Linked DNA regions of Drosophila melanogaster. The protein of the gene in region 2 interacts with the protein of the main gene of each other region in a pairwise test. Each region holds a gene or a part of one and is shown on either strand. Other genes may lie near its edges.

The links. The genes of interacting proteins can lie anywhere in the genome.
Region 1: the proteins of Gbeta76C (region 2) and Mpi interact in a two-hybrid assay, tested with the Drosophila melanogaster proteins (one large-scale study listed by BioGRID).
Region 3: the proteins of Gbeta76C (region 2) and CG17134 interact in a two-hybrid assay, tested with the Drosophila melanogaster proteins (one large-scale study listed by BioGRID).

Annotation. Positions count from the first base shown.
Region 1 is NT_033777.3:9,757,845-9,761,708, forward strand, and holds Mpi (mannose phosphate isomerase), read left to right. Parts: upstream 1-1,777; 5' UTR 1,778-1,881; intron 1,882-2,005; 5' UTR 2,006-2,057; coding exon 2,058-2,634; intron 2,635-2,687; coding exon 2,688-3,301; 3' UTR 3,302-3,364; downstream 3,365-3,864. Other genes in the region: Alg12 alpha-1,6-mannosyltransferase, read left to right, coding at 1-230, 290-1,367.
Region 2 is NT_037436.4:19,683,863-19,692,370, forward strand, and holds Gbeta76C (G protein beta subunit 76C), read left to right. Parts: upstream 1-3,774; 5' UTR 3,775-3,865; coding exon 3,866-3,934; intron 3,935-4,355; coding exon 4,356-4,801; intron 4,802-4,855; coding exon 4,856-5,057; intron 5,058-5,196; coding exon 5,197-5,326; intron 5,327-5,409; coding exon 5,410-5,496; intron 5,497-5,689; coding exon 5,690-5,796; 3' UTR 5,797-6,130; downstream 6,131-8,508. Other genes in the region: CG8765 (uncharacterized protein), read right to left, coding at 970-1,816, 1,876-2,029, 2,096-2,784, 2,933-3,074, 3,133-3,373; verm (vermiform), read right to left, coding at 6,644-7,794, 7,947-8,096. UniProt on the Drosophila melanogaster protein: Guanine nucleotide-binding proteins (G proteins) are involved as a modulator or transducer in various transmembrane signaling systems.
Region 3 is NT_033779.5:10,819,120-10,822,467, reverse strand, and holds CG17134 (uncharacterized protein), read right to left. Parts: upstream 1,764-3,348; 5' UTR 1,736-1,763; coding exon 560-1,735; 3' UTR 501-559; downstream 1-500. Other genes in the region: CG6508 (uncharacterized protein), read right to left, coding at 2,074-3,345; Nos (nitric oxide synthase), read left to right, coding at 222-361.

The DNA of each region.
Region 1 (3,864 bases), on a different chromosome or scaffold from region 2:
GGTACCTCGCCTTTTCTATGGTACTTTTACTCCGCCCTGCCACGTGCCATGGGTGCATCGCTGGTGCTCGTGCCCATCGGCGTCGCATTGGAGCCACGTATTCGGCCATTGGTCCTGTCGGCTCTCCTCTTTGTCCTTTTGTACTCCATTCTGCCGCACAAGGAGCTGCGCTTCATCATCTACGTGTTTCCAGTTCTCAACATTGCTGCGGCTTGCGCATGCCAACGAATGTAAGCGTCGTATTATTTCATTAGTAAAATGCATTTCTATTATTGGTTTCCTCGTTTAGTTGGATGAACAGCGCCAAGTCAACGTGGCATAGCTTTCTGGCGCTCGCCTGTGGAGCCCATCTCCTGCTAAATGTCTTTATAACGCTCTTCCTGCTTGTCATTTCGGGCACCAACTATCCGGGCGGAGCAGCCCTCTCCCGATTGCATCGCTTGGAAGCTGGCACCTCAAACGTTTCCGTTCACATTTCCAACTTGGCCGCCCAGAGCGGCGTGTCGCGTTTTATGGAAATAAATAATGAATGGACTTACAGCAAGGACGAGACAATGAACTATACCCAGGCGGATTTGGTTGCATACACACATCTTTTGGTCGAGGCGAAGAACAAGCAAAACACTGAACTATGGGCATCGCTCCAAAACGAATTCGATACGCTAGAGTTTATTGACTGCTTCAACAGCATCGGCATTCAATACAATTCTCTGCTGCCGGTGCGAATAAAGACGAAGCCTTGCATTGGTATACTTAAAAAGAGACCAGTGGCTCCAAAAGAGGCATCAAAAACAAAAGAGAAAATAGCAAAAACTAAGACATACCCGGTGGAAAAAGAAACGTTATTAGCTCCTGTTAAAGAATTTCCAAAAGTGATAGGAGATCCGAAAATGAAATCCAGGTTACAAGTCGATGCGGATGATGATGATGGCATCGTGTCCACTGTGGAGGAAATGTCGCTAGAACTGGAAACGGATACTGAGCCCCATGCTGGGGCAGAGACCATCGAAACGCCCTTGAAGGAGATCAATTTCCAGGAGCTGAGAACCCTCGCCTTGGGACAGGCAACCAAGAAGTCGAGAGCAGCCACCAAGATGAAGATTCGACAAATTATCGAGCAGCACTACCGCGCCAAGGGCAAACAAATCGAAAACGACTCCGCAGAGACCCAAAAAACGCAAGGAAAGGCTGGATTACGGCAATCCGTAAAGTCCATCATAAAGCAGGAGAAGATCAAGGAAATGATCGAGCAGATCGCTACGATGGATCTGACACGCATCTGCGATTTGGAAAGGACTTCGACCAAAGATTGCTTAAAACAGGTCATAGACAAAATAGATGACAGCGAGGGTTTGAAATCCAAATGACAAAACCTATCACACTTTAAACTGTTTTATTAAATTAAGCTAAGCGTTTGTTAATGGCACAGTTGTAAAAATTTAAAATAAAAGCAATAATAAAAGCGAATCAAAATTTCAGGAATTTCCTATATCTTGATAGAAAATTAAGTCGCGGCCAAATCGCACCCGAATCGCGTCCGAATCGCGCTAAAGTCGCCTCAAAATCCCCCCTAAATCGCATCTAATCGCGCCTAATTAAGCTCAAACGCTCTAACTAAACATAAATTGCCAAATAGAGTATGACACATTACGGCACGTCGGATATATTTTTTGCTGACCAAAAATAAATATAAATTAAATTATAGAGTATTAAAGTATCGTCATATATGTAGAACTAGTCATTAGGGATATCGCAATATCCCCATCTCTAGCTTAAACGCGATATATGTATTTAAAGTAACAGTGGTGGAAACACACCAAATTATTTCGGCAATAAAATCGAAATTACAAACTTCCAGAAAGCTGTTATCTATATAAAAAGGTGTGATAAGCCTTATGTCGCAGGTGTATCAACGCTAATCCACTTAATGGCGCTTTCACCACAGACCAACCCCTCTCACACGTATCCATTCACCAGCAATCATATGTTTTCTTATCACCTTCAGGTTGACCTCAAACGCAGTACGGCGAATTTTGGAAGGCAATCGGTGCGGTGAAATGGAGCTGACTGGATGGGTGAAGAACTACGGCTGGGGCCGCAAGGGCATCAACTCGGCGGTGGCCCAGCTGGCAATGGCCAATGATCCGGACTTTCGTCTGAACGAGGAGGAGACCTATGCGGAAATGTGGATGGGCACGCATGTGTGCGGTGTGTCCGTGGTCAAGGAAACCGGAGAGACTCTGGACCGAGTGCTAAAGAAGGACCTTTCATACCTGTTCAAGGTGCTAAGCATCAACAAGGCACTCAGCATCCAGGTGCATCCGAACAAGTGCGAAGCGGAGCGCCTGCACAAGGAGCGCCCGGATATCTACAAGGATCCCAATCACAAGCCGGAACTGGCCATTGCCCTCACGCCCTTTCTGGCCCTCGTGGGATTTATGTCAGCCGAAGATATCAGGGACTACATCGATGAGTTCCAGCCGCTGAGTAAACTCATTGGCAAGGAGGCTGTGGATCAGCTCCATGACTCGACCAACTCGGAAAGCGTTAAGTTGTGCTACGAGAAGCTGATGAAGACCGAAGAGCCGGTGATAGCCAAGTGCATCAGTGAAATAGCCAAGGATTACCAAAACGGTGAGCCATTCTGTGCAATCTATGAAAGATTTGTAAACATTCCTCTAAAATAGAACTGAAATCCAACGATCTGCTTGAGGTGTTCACCAAGGTCAACAAAGACTTCCCCGGCGATGTGGGCGTACTGTCCCTGTTCTTCCTCAACCTAATCCGCCTGCAGCCCGGCCAGGCGATCTACTTGGGCGCGAACGAGATTCATGCCTACCTGGACGGCGACTGTGTGGAGTGCATGGCTTGCTCGGACAATGTGATACGGGCGGGCCTAACGCCCAAGTACAAGGATGTGGACCAGCTGCTGGAATCTGTGATCTTCGAAAGTTCGTATAAGGATCGCAAGGAGTTCATTCCGTACCGCATAGATGACCAGGTCCAGGTCTATATTCCGCCAGTATCCGACTTTGCAGTGATAAATGTGAATATCGAACACTCGCTGGAGTCGTACAAGCTGGAGATACAAGCATTCGGCTCCATATTGATAGTTCTAAAGGGATCCCGCATTCTTAAATTGAAAACCCAGCAGGGAGATAAGGAGATCTTGGTAACCCGCGGCAGCATTGTGTACATTCCCGTCGAGGCGGCGCCGGAAATCGAATTCGCCCAGTCCGACGATTGCGACGAGGACTTCAGCGGCTACATAGCAACCAGCAACTACTTTCGAGTGCCCTAAAATTCTCAGTTAATCGAAATATTTTGTACAGTGCAATAAATCCATTAACACGTTTTGGTGGTGAATTATTTTGTTTATATTTACTTGCAATTAAGAGCTAAGAATGTAAGCTAAAGTGGCAATAGTAGCGATAAATAAGTTATCTAATCAATTGGCTATACTCGTTCCATAGTACATTTAATAATTAACGAGAAATATCTTGCGCACAAACAGGTAGTTTCTTAAATATTTGCGATAATTGCAACCAACAATTTCAAGTACTTAAGCTAGAGCTACGTAACTCGATCGGGGTTACATTCACTGGGGATAAATTATTCATATGTACGAAGCAAGAGGTTCGAGTGCAAATCTAGTGTAATTCAATAGAATTGGTGCTTGGACTGCTGTGCTGGGCTTGCGAAATGCCCAAATACATGGCCTACTTAAAAAGGGTTAACAATGGAGAACATAAAATTGGCTACGTTATACATAATTTCCGCCCGTCTTTGTTTGGTTTTTCGGTGCCCGTGCGGGATGCGGTGGTTCTACGAATTGTAAATACATTAATTCACATTTATCCATCT
Region 2 (8,508 bases):
TTTTAATCTACGAGTTGTTTGGGTACGGCATTATTATTCCAATCCATCTGACAAATTCACCCTACATCAAGAATATTTGCTCTAAAAATATATTTTCTTTTTTCTTTGACATTGTACGAATTGGTTACAATCGATTTGGTTACAAGTATTTAAATATTTAATTGAATTTTTAGTTCCGGTTGCGTCAGCACCGGAAGCATCCTAAGCTAGTAAACACTATTTTCTTCCGCTATTATTGGATTTTTGTCTATGTACATATAACATTTTAAGATCCACCCTCGCGCTGGTTAAGCAAACGAATTTCGCTTTTAAAAGTTCCGAAATTTTAAAGAAAGCAAGAGAGAATGCTATAGTCGAGTTCCCCGACTATCAGATACCCGTTACTCAGCTAGTGTGAATGCGAACGCGAATAAAATGAGAACAAATTTAGAAATTGTGGGCGTGACCGGTGTGGCGGCTTTTAGGACGTTGGGCGTGGCAAAAAGTTGTTTGTCAAATCGATAGAAATTTTAGCGACTAATAAAATTATGAAATGATATCAACACATTTTTGAAAAGTGTGGGCTTGGCAGGTTTGGGCGGTTTTAGAGCGTGCCAACATGGGTCAACAATCTTGCGCTGCGTCTATGCCTCCAGAATATGTATGCTGAATCTTAACCTTCTAGCTTTTATAGTTCCTGAGATCTCGACGTGCATACGGACAGACGGATATGGCCGGATATGGCCAGAAATATATAGACTTTATATGGTCGGAAACATTTCTGCTTGTTACAAACTTTTCAACGAATCTAGTATACCCTTTTACTCTACGAGTAACGGGTATAGAAATTTACAAAGATATCAACTCGTCTAGAAATTAGAAAAACACTTTGAAATAACACTTAATGTCTAGAATGAGTCGCCCTGAAACCGTTGATGGTCCACTCAAGCATCATACTCCTCTCCAGGTAGCCAAAGGTCACCAGCAGCGCTAGTGATTCCTCAGTGCCTCGTTGATGACACGCAGAATATCAATTTGCAGTTCGGTAAAAGCCACCGGCTCCAGCTGAGCATTGCGTATCTTCATGGACACAGCCTTGAAGAACGCACCTATCTCATCGTCCTCTCCGGAGTTGTGGCCATTGCTGGAGGGATACTCCATATGGGTGGGTTTGCTGGGCGTAATGGGCGCCGAGTGATAGCGAGACGTGGAAGTAGAGCTTGGCGTAGTGGCAGCATTCTGGTACCTAGGCGTGGTTGGAGTCTGTATCTCGATCTTCTGGAACTCCGCAGTTGATTGAAGCTGCTGATTTTCCAGGCTGGTGGCCCCGTCGCTGAGCTGCTCTTGCTTGGACATGGCACTGCCAACGCTTGGAACAGCCATGTAAACGGGTCCATCTTCGTGATCGTAAGTCATTACATGCTGATCCTGCTGCTGAGGAGGTTGTTCCGCCGCCGTTGTGGTTTCCATCTCCTCATCCTCATCGTCTTCCACATCATCATCATTATGGTGTACATCTCCGTTGATGTAATTCTCGATGTCCATGTCGTCATAGGTGGCCACACAGAGTTCACTTGCCTGCTGTTGCTGTTGTTGCTGCTGATGCTGTTGTTGCTGTTGGTGCTGCTCTTCCTGCTGTTGCTGTTGTTGTTGTTGCTCAGCCTTGTGTGGTCCCGTCAAATGAGGCAGGGTGGGCAAGTTAAGCTGGGAATTCGACGAAGACGACTCTAGGGTGATCTGCTGCGTGGGCGGTGAGTGAGACTGGGTCATATGGTCCTCGAGTTCCCTCACCGGGTCATTTTTGGGTAGCAGCATACTGAGTTGCGAATCGCTTTCCCTGAAGAGTAAAAAGTTATCAATATATGATTATGTTAAAATAAACAAAACCTCTCTTACAGCGTCTTTTGTTGTATGTACTTCTGAAGGAAACTGAGCGAATTATAGTGCTTCCAACGCGATGTGGCATCTATGTGCATCAGTGTCCTCAATCGCTTGTGTTCGCGTGCGTATTGGTCCCTTAAAGCCTTCCACTTCAGTCGACACTGTTTCACTAAAATAGTTAATGCTTGAAAAATCATCTTCATCCTTCGGCTGTTTAAGTTTATCAACCACATACCCGACTTCTTTAGTTTTCTGGCGATTTCCTCCCACACCTCCATCTTGAGCTTGGCATTGCGATAGTTCTCGTTGCCGTAGTTGTAGATCATGTCTTCCTGCTGGATCAGCGTGATCAGTTCCTTTTCGAAGTAGCTCTCCATGTTGAGAAATGTGTGTATGGGATCGTCGTCCTCCTCCTCGGCGTTCGTCGATTGATTGTGCGCTGCTGAAGTGGTGGATACATTAGACGTGATTGTTGCTGCCGAGCTCGACTGATTGGCGGCATTGACGCAGTCCACTATTTCGTTGTAGAGAGTGTCTACCACCGTGGTTGTGTTGGCGGTTCCACACTGCACTATGATTGATGGAGTAGCACCGCCTCCCGCATCCGTCAGATAGTTCCAGTTCGCTTCCGGCTGCGAGTGCATTTGTTGCTGATGCTGCTGTTGCTGCTGCTGCTGCTGCAGCACGGCTCCAATATGGCTTGCCAAGAAAGTGGCTGCCGGCTTCTTATCAGTTGAACTAGGCGAACTGAAGCTGCAGCTGTCGAGCAGCGTGGATGCACTGGCATCCTCAATTTTAATGCTGCCGGAAAGGTTTAGATTCTGGCTACTGCTGTTGCTGCTGAAGGAAGTAGTCATGGGCAGCGATAAGGGGGTCACCGTACCCACGGCGCCATTGGAAGTCTGACCAGATCTCCCTCTGTAACTAAAGAATTGTGGGTTTAATTAAATACGGACATATCATTTGGAAGCCTGAAGAACAGAACTAGTGATAGATAGCTCCATATGCTGTATAGTCTGCATTGGCAGTCAGCATGGCGGTGCCAACTTGAATTGCTCCACGTGCTACTTACTTTCTTGCCAGCGCATATGGACGCAGGAAATCCAGCTCTTTGAAATACTTCCACTTCACTGCTTTTGAGCAGGCCTTGGCGCGCTTCAGCTCCCGGCAGTACTGATCCCTCATGGCCTTCCACTTGGACTTGCACTGGACGTCTGTGGAAATGGGATTAAGTGCCAACTTTTTGGTGGGGAAACTTAAACGTTCACTTACCGGACCAACCCACATTGCTGCCAATCTCCAGCCATTTCTCGTCCTTGATCTTGGTGCTGCGGTAGTGGGGATGCTTGGGATTGTATAGCGACTGCTCCTGGGAGACCAGCGAAATGAGGATCAGCTCCTTGGGAATGCTGACCACATTCTCACCCAGACTAGGATCTATGCTGAGATTCACGTGCTGCTGCTGCGGCTGCTGGTGCTCCTGCAGCTGGTTGGCACATGGCAGCGTCTCCATGGCGCTCCCTACTTGGTGTCCATGCTGGCGGTGTGTTAATATGGGCAATTGTTATAAATAAAAACAGGGAAAACAAAAATGAGGTGACCGAACAGCTGATCCTGGAGAGTTGTGTAATTAGAGGGACCAGTTTCGCCTTGGCTATACAAGCATCTTTTTTACATTGAGTGGAACATCTGGTGGCCACCGACCTGGTCACCCTGAACAGTCCAGTGCTGCAAGAGGCGCACACCATTTCGATAAGTTGGCAGCCCGCTCATATGTTCGATTTTAAAATTTTGGCGCCAAAAAATCGTCTTTCTATACATTTGTATTTAACGGCTAATCCAATTAGCTAATTGCATTACCGCTAAGGAAAAAAGAAAACATCATAACATTCAGGCAAAACAAATTGTTTAACTCTCAGTTTATTGTGCGACGCAGTGCGGTTCAAAACTAGAAACTTTCTTCTGGCAAATATTGCAGCCGTCCTTATATAATTAATGCTCCATAATGCCGAAAATTGACCCAGAAACACAAAAACTCTACGACGAAATCAATGGCATGATACAGAAGTTTAAGGTGAATTAAATAAACTCAACGTACAGCGAAGTAAATTAAAAATATCAGATAATAAATATAGCAACAACAAAAGTAACATAAAAAAGTTTTCCCCATATAAAATAACAATACTCTAAAAATACCGATAGCCAGCTTAAAAAGAAATTCGTTGTCCTTAATTTAATTTTAACAAAAAAATATTAATATAACTTTTTGGAATATGTATGATAATATGATTGGGTTTTAAATATCTTGCCAGATTTCATACTTCAGTGCTAACTACTCCCATAATATTTCATCTCGATAATAGTCGAACACATTATTTCCAATTTTGAAAAAATTAAGTGACTTAACTTAATCGAAAACTGTATGCGTCTCTAACATTTATTCTGGAAATTCTTGTAATAAAAATTGTCATTCATTACTATGATTTTGCTTTCAGGATGACCAAAAAAGCAAGGCTGATTGCACGTTGGCCGATAAATGCGGCGACATGGGGGATGTGCCCAAGATTCGATTCTCATCCAAGAAGATTCTCAAGGGCCACATCAACAAGGTGAATTCGGTGCATTTTGCCGGGGACTCGCGGCACTGCGTCACTGGATCGCTGGACGGCAAGCTGATCATCTGGGACACCTGGACCGCCAACAAGGTGCAGATCATCCCCTTGAGATCCGCCTGGGTAATGACGGTGGCCTTTTCGCCGTCGGGTAACTTTGTGGCCTGCGGAGGAATGGACAACCAGTGCACCGTCTACGATGTGAACAATCGCGATGCCTCCGGAGTGGCCAAGATGGTCAAAGAGCTGATGGGCTACGAGGGATTCCTCAGCTCCTGTCGCTTCCTCGACGATGGCCATCTGATCACCGGCTCGGGAGATATGAAAATGTAGGGCTTTGCTTAACTTTTTGGAGTAAAATCTAAGTTTCCTATGACCAACAGATGCCATTGGGATCTGGAGAAGGGTGTCAAGACAATGGATTTCAATGGACACGCTGGTGATATCGCTGGCTTATCGCTTTCGCCAGATATGAAGACCTATATCACTGGCTCTGTGGACAAAACTGCCAAGTTGTGGGATGTGCGAGAGGAGGGCCACAAGCAGATGTTCTTCGGTCACGACATGGACGTGTCATCCGTCTGCGTGAGTACACATATATGTTTTAATAATAATAGCTTATATTAATTACCAAGAACAACTATAAGCAGCTAATCTATTTAGTACTTGTAATTTAATACAAATGTATTCATTACACCCACCCAATTATCATTATCGGTTGCAGTACCATCCCAGTGGCTTCGGGTTCGCCTCCTGCTCGGAGGACCAAACGGCGCGCATGTACGACCTGCGGGCGGACCAGCAAATCGCCCAGTATGAACCGCCCCAGAAGAACACTGGCTTCACGTCGTGCGGTGGGTTCTCGTTCTCCGTCTTGGTGGAACACGGTCGCCTTGACTTTTGACGGGTTTTTAATCTGATTTTGTGTCCCCACCAGCTCTATCGACCAGCGGGCGCTACCTCATGTGCGGCGGCATTGAGGGCAACGTGCACTCGTGGGACACGATGAAGCAGCGGCACACGGGTGGGTATTGGGAATTGGGTAGTTCGTATTGGGTATTGGATATCCATTGCACTTGGGGGATTCGGTGATAAAGAACGGGGAAATGGAGGCGAAGCTAATGCTCAGGCTGGCACTTGACTTACATCGATTTGCTGACCTTCTTCTCCACTTTCTACTTTCTACTTACCATTTGTCACTTTCCATTCCTCCACAGGCACACTGTCTGGTCACGAGAACCGCATCACTTGCATCAGCCTGTGCCCCAATGGCATGTGCCTGGCGTCCACCAGTTGGGATCAGCAAGTGCGTCTGTGGCTCTAATCTGTGCCTCTGATCTGGGTTCAGTGTCGTCCAAAGGCGAAGACAACGTTTATGCGTGCAGTTTGCTTGCAAATTACGTATACGTAATATCCATAGCCTGCAAGTAATAAGGATAGTTCTCAGTGCAGACTAACAATATTAATACAATATTAAATCTATTGTTAAACTTGCGAACATAAGAATAGCTTGCCCCCTTTAAGTGCTAATTTGCAAGCAAAACGTGCGTATGAATATTATTATAATAATTGAATACTTGATTACCTAGAGAAAGTAGCCTCCAATAACAAGCAAGTGCCAATTGGATGTGCGAAATAAAATGTATGAATAGTACAACAAAGTAACACGTCTCCTCCATTAAAACTCCATTGCAACTTAATTTTTTTTATATATTTTTTATATTTTTCTTATAAAAAATACTTATACAATTACGAAGATATTTTTGCTGCTGCGATTTTTGGCGCTTGGTTTTGTTTGTTTGTGGAAATTGTCTTTGAGCTGGTCAAAGAGGCAGCTAGGTAAATTAAAACAAATCACTTTTGAAATCAACAGAGAGATAAAGATACAGGTTCAGATACAGAATAGTCGAAAGTATACAGATAGATAGAAGATAGATAGAAAGAGAGAGAGAGAGAGAGAGAGAGATAGAAATGAAAGTCGCATAAATAACAGATGGATAGAGATAGCTTAGGATCACACAGGAAGCAGGATGCAACGATTTGAGTATTCTGTAGATGGATCAGCATAGATCAGCTGGTACAGTTTGTTTAGTTTATCAGACTCTCGGTGGAACTACTGTGAGTTGTTCTCCTGTTTGGGTAGATGGAAGGATAGCGACGACGGGACGGCCTTAAACGGAGAAGCCATCGCCGGTGGGATCCAGGATCCAGGGGTAGTTGTTGGGGCACTCCATGCACGTGAAGAGACGCAGCGTCTCGCCGGGCAGCTCCCTGGTGGTCAGGGGACACGCGTTGGGCAGAGAGCAGTAGGGCTGGCCCTTGACGTCGCACTTCTCCTTCCACTCCTGGAAGTCGCGCAGCGAGTTCAGCTCGGTGGGGTTCTGCATCCACTGGATCACCTGCAGGTTGGTCACGAAGAACACGTCGTTGCGGCCGAGCATCTCCTCGATGAATTTGATCAGCTCGTCGCGGTACTCCTTCTTCGACTTCAGCCACGAAGCGTGGAAGTGGAGTCCAAGTGGAGCACGGTTGCTATTGTAGTGGCGGTTGAAGTTGTGGCGCAGCAGGCGTGCGAACTGGTCGCCGCTGGCTACGTTTGAGCAGGAGTCCACCATATGGCAACCGGGCAGGGACTCGTCGAAGGTGGGATCGTCGCGCCGGTCCAGCTCGTTCATGACCATCTCCCACACGGGGTGGCTCCTCGATGGGCAGTTGTGCGCGTTGCCGTTGCACTTGTGCGGCATGCGGAAGTACAGGGTGTATGGCCAAATGGGCACGCGGCCAAGGGAGGCGGTGATGGAGGCGTCGTACACGAAGAACTGATCGGCCATCATCTCGAACTGCTTGTTGCCGCCCACGCGGAGGTAGGGCGCCCGCATGCCGATGATGGAGCCGTCGGTGATGTTGGCGAAGCGCTCCACGATCAGTCGGGAGCCGGCCATCTCGGCCAGCCAGTCGTCGTAGCTGCCGCCGGTCCAGTAGTTGGGGTCATCCTTGTGCGTTAGCGAGAACACGGAGATCTCGTGTCCGCGACGATGAAGGTCCTGCACCGCCGAGTAGTTGGTGTACTTGTGGGACACGAAGAAGGTGCCCTTGATGGAGCAGCCGTTGGGATTCTGGCGCTGTCCGTTGAAGATGTCCTCGTACAGGTCGATGTTGTCCACGTTGACGGCGCCGTTGAAGGTGATCGTGATCATCTGGGGCACCTGTTGGGGCTCAATGCCGCCGGGAATGCGGGTTCCGTCCGCCGAGCAGAAGCAGTCGGGCAGGGCGCACTGCGTCGGATCGCATTCGGGGGCGCGGTTGGGATCCTCATCGACAGCTGGAAATGGTAGATGGTTGGGGATCATTCTTCTGGATCATTTATTGAACTTTGCGCTGTAATGTATGCTGCATTTCCTCAACAATTTATCATCTCAAGCACCATTTGGAATTCAGTTCGAATCTGTAGGAATAATCGTGTGTTGGACTTACAGCAGGCGTTCTCATCGGATTCGTCCTTGCAGTCGGACTTGCCGTTGCAGAAGAGCTCCTTGTCCAGGCACTCGCCGTCGCCGCAGGACAGCTTACCCTCGGGACAGATGGGCTCATCCGTCTTCAGGATGGGCTTGGCCTTGCGCGGCTCTGTGGAATGTACACTCAGTTAGTGGGAAGCTACGTTTTGGAGCTACTGGTGGATGGAGGCGTGTTAGTGACAACAAATGTCTAAATTTTGAAATGAGAAGTATTTACATGAGTGTGATGGGGTTTAGTAGTTTAGGTGGTTGTTAGTTTCGAGCTGGGTTAGGGTTTGTTTCGTTCGTGGATCTACCAAAGTTCCGGAAGTCTAACATTGCTGACTACTGTATGTACAGGTGTATATTGGCTTGATTGGTTGGTTTGTTTGTTTGGCTTGACTGTTTGGTCTGGCTGGTTGGTCGTCACACTTACTCTCTTTCTCGTCGCAATTGGTCACCTTGGCCTTCCAGTCGCAGGTCTGCTTGATCACGTCGAAGGCCAGACCCGAAGGACACTGAATTTCTTTCAAACCCGACTT
Region 3 (3,348 bases), on a different chromosome or scaffold from region 2:
GTTGGGCACACTGCGATCCATGGTTTCAGTCAATCCATAGTCCACATACCCATGCCAACATTAATGTATTTGCATATAAAACCGAGCCCCAAAGTATCCCCATTTATTTTTACACATGTCACTTTTATATACGCCACCGCCTGCCCGCTGGCCTTATGCTGATTTTCGATTCCGAATCACATTTGTTTGATGTCCAATCCCATCGCTCTTCCATCCATCAGGTCTGCACCAAGCTGGGCTGGAAGAGCAAGGGCAGCGAGTGGGACATACTGCCATTGGTGGTCTCGGCCAATGGTCACGATCCGGACTACTTTGATTACCCGCCCGAATTGATACTGGAAGTTCCGCTGACCCATCCAAAGTGAGTATAAAGATGCATGCAGATGGGTGCTATTACCACAGCTTACTATCGCTCTGATTTGTGATTTACTTAAATCTTACTTACATACATTGTAAGCAAGTAAACCTGATAGTTATTACCCACAGGAATACTCCAAGTTAGATTTTATGTATTGCATGTATTTCTCTTAGTTATTTCCTTTTCGATAACAACGTTATGTTAATAATCCGCCACCCTGGCGAAACCAATCCTTTCGTTGCCCTTGTCGAAAACCGTGTAGAACTTGCCAATAAAGACATCACCCAGAATCCAGAAGCTTAGTCCCTCCATGTAGGTGAAGGCGGACATGCAGTAGGTTTGGCCATTCTGCGTTACCTTGACTATATAATCCCTTGGTGCCAGGGTGAAGACAGTACCACCGATATTCAGGTTGACCTTGGGCAGGGATGAGACTCGGCCGCACCTCACGAATGCCTCACCGTCATTATCGGTGGCGCCCAGCTGGCGATTGATCTTCCTGTAAGCGGCCAGTGGAACTGCGATTAAGGAGGTGCCCGTATCGGCGATGGCTTGGCATCCGTTGCACAGCAAAGTGCCATTGGTCTTGATGGTGTTCACCTTGAACTGCCAGTAGGCAGGAACGGAAACGGGCACATAGGTGAGGCTTCCCCTATAGAGACTCGAGTCAATACCGCCCAGGATCAGTTCTCCACCGCGCACAGCGGTTCCCTGTCGCTTGAGATAGAAGGAGATAACTGGTTCATCGAGCAGTCCCTGGGAGATCATGTTGTCGAACGGCGGAGTCACTCCATCGACGGCAATCGCGCTGAAGGCCAGTCCCAGGATTCCAGCAAAAGGAGCATCCACGAAGGTTGTACCCGGCTCGCTGAGTGCTTCGCCGAATGTCTGATTCTGAATGCTGATTCCCGCTATGGTCACAATGTCGTTGGACAGGAAACCCGACAGACTACCAGTTCCGTATTCGATGGCGAACTCCTCACCATTGGCCACATAAGTGCTGGATGCCGAAGAATCGTATTTGTTGTGCCTCTGGCACGCGGTATTCGAAGCCGGGCAACTTGCACTTGGAACCCACAGATTGGCCGATCCCGTGTCGAACAGAATGTTGAATCTCTGCTCAGGCGTTCCGATAGCAATCACGCCGTAGTACTCATTGTTCATGGAATTGTGCAGGTTTTCGGTGGCACCCGACGAACTGACACTGAAAGAGGTCTCCGCCAAAAAGGAGTACTTCGATGCCAGCACGGTCTTCTCGGCCTTAACACTGCCATGGGTCTTGGTGAAATTCTTGTTCACTTGGAGCTGGACGCGATTCAACTTGGCAGCGGAATGGCCAATCCCGACAAGCACCAATAAAACTAACAACTGTCTCATGTCTGCGGCTGAAATTCGACTGTGAATAGATTTGAAATGGGTTCGAAATTTAAATAACTTTTCTGTCTGCTCTCCCATTTTTTTTGTATTGTCTAACTGCAAATATCCATAAATAGCCACGAAATTTTCCATTTCTGGAAGTTAATGACGTCCACGAGTTCTGTTGGCATACTTAAGCTGACTTGGAAACAAAGCCAACTCCAGTCGTAGAGATTAAAGAACTCGGCAAATATTTGTTGTTCGTTTTACAAATCTTCTTTAATACAAGTGTTTAGCCATAAGGTTTATGATGAAACAAATAGGCACGTGGATTAGTTTGGAGTTGAAATATAATTGACTCAAGTAAAGAATCTGGAGTATTCATCGCCGTAGAATGGGTAATCGATGCCGTAGCTAGATGGTTCTTTCACATAACTGGAGGCATAAACCCTATAACTTGAATGCTTCTTTAGTTTTGCGAATCCAATTCTCTCCTTGCCCACATCGAAAACCGTATAGACCTTTCCAAGGAAAATGTCTCCCAGTATCCATAGTAAATTACCCTGCAAGTATGTGAAGCCGGATAGGCACAGGGTTTGATTGTTATCCGCCTGGACCTTGTAGATGTAATCCTTTGGCGTTAGTGTGTAGGTAGTGCCACCGATATTTAGATTAACATTCGGCAATCTACAGAGACTGCTGCAGTCCACAAATGCTTCTCCATCTCCGGCATCAGTGGCATTCAACACTTTATTGATCGCTTTATAGGCTCGCAGGGGAACGGCGATGAGCGAGGTGCCAGTATCGGCGATGGCCTGGCATCCGTTGCAGAGAAGGATGCCCTCGATTTTCACCGAATTAGCCGTAAATTGCCAATAGGCAGGCATCGATACTGGAACGTAGTTGATGCAACCCCTGTAGATGCTCCGATCGATTCCACCCCAGATGACTTCTCCGCCAGACTGTGAGGTACCATCGCGCCTGAGGTAGACGGAGAACACCGGATGTTTGACCAATCCCTGCCGGATGATGTTGTCAAAGGGAGTGGTGACTCCGCCGGAAATGGACGCAAATGCCATTCCAATTATGCCATCAAAAATGGTGTTCACAAAGGCTGAACCTGGTTCATCGATGGCCTCGGCGAATGTCTGATTCCTGATTACCATACCATCGATGTCCACCGTATCCGTGGACAAAAATCCAGACAAGCTGCCTGAGCCGTACTGTATGCTAAATCCTTTTCCATCCTCCACGTGGGAACTGGACGCACTCGAGTTGTATTTATTGTGCTTTTGGCAGGCTTCGTTGGTGCTTGAACACTTTACACTCGGCACCCATAAGTCGGATGATCCAGTGTCGAACTGAAGATTAAAACACTGCGGTGGTGTTCCGATGCAGAGGCGAATGGTGTACTCCAGATTGAATCCGTTGGCTAGCACCTGTGTCGTTTGTGATGATTGTCTGTCCACCAGAAAGTACTTGGCCGCCAGCAAGATCTTCTCCGCCTTCACATTGGCATGGGTCTTGTTCTGGTTGATCTGACGAGTGATGGGAGTCCTCCTGAGTTGGCCCATCGAATGGTCAAGCAGCAGTAAAAATAGTGGTATAATTATTAGTTGGCCAACTTCCATGAC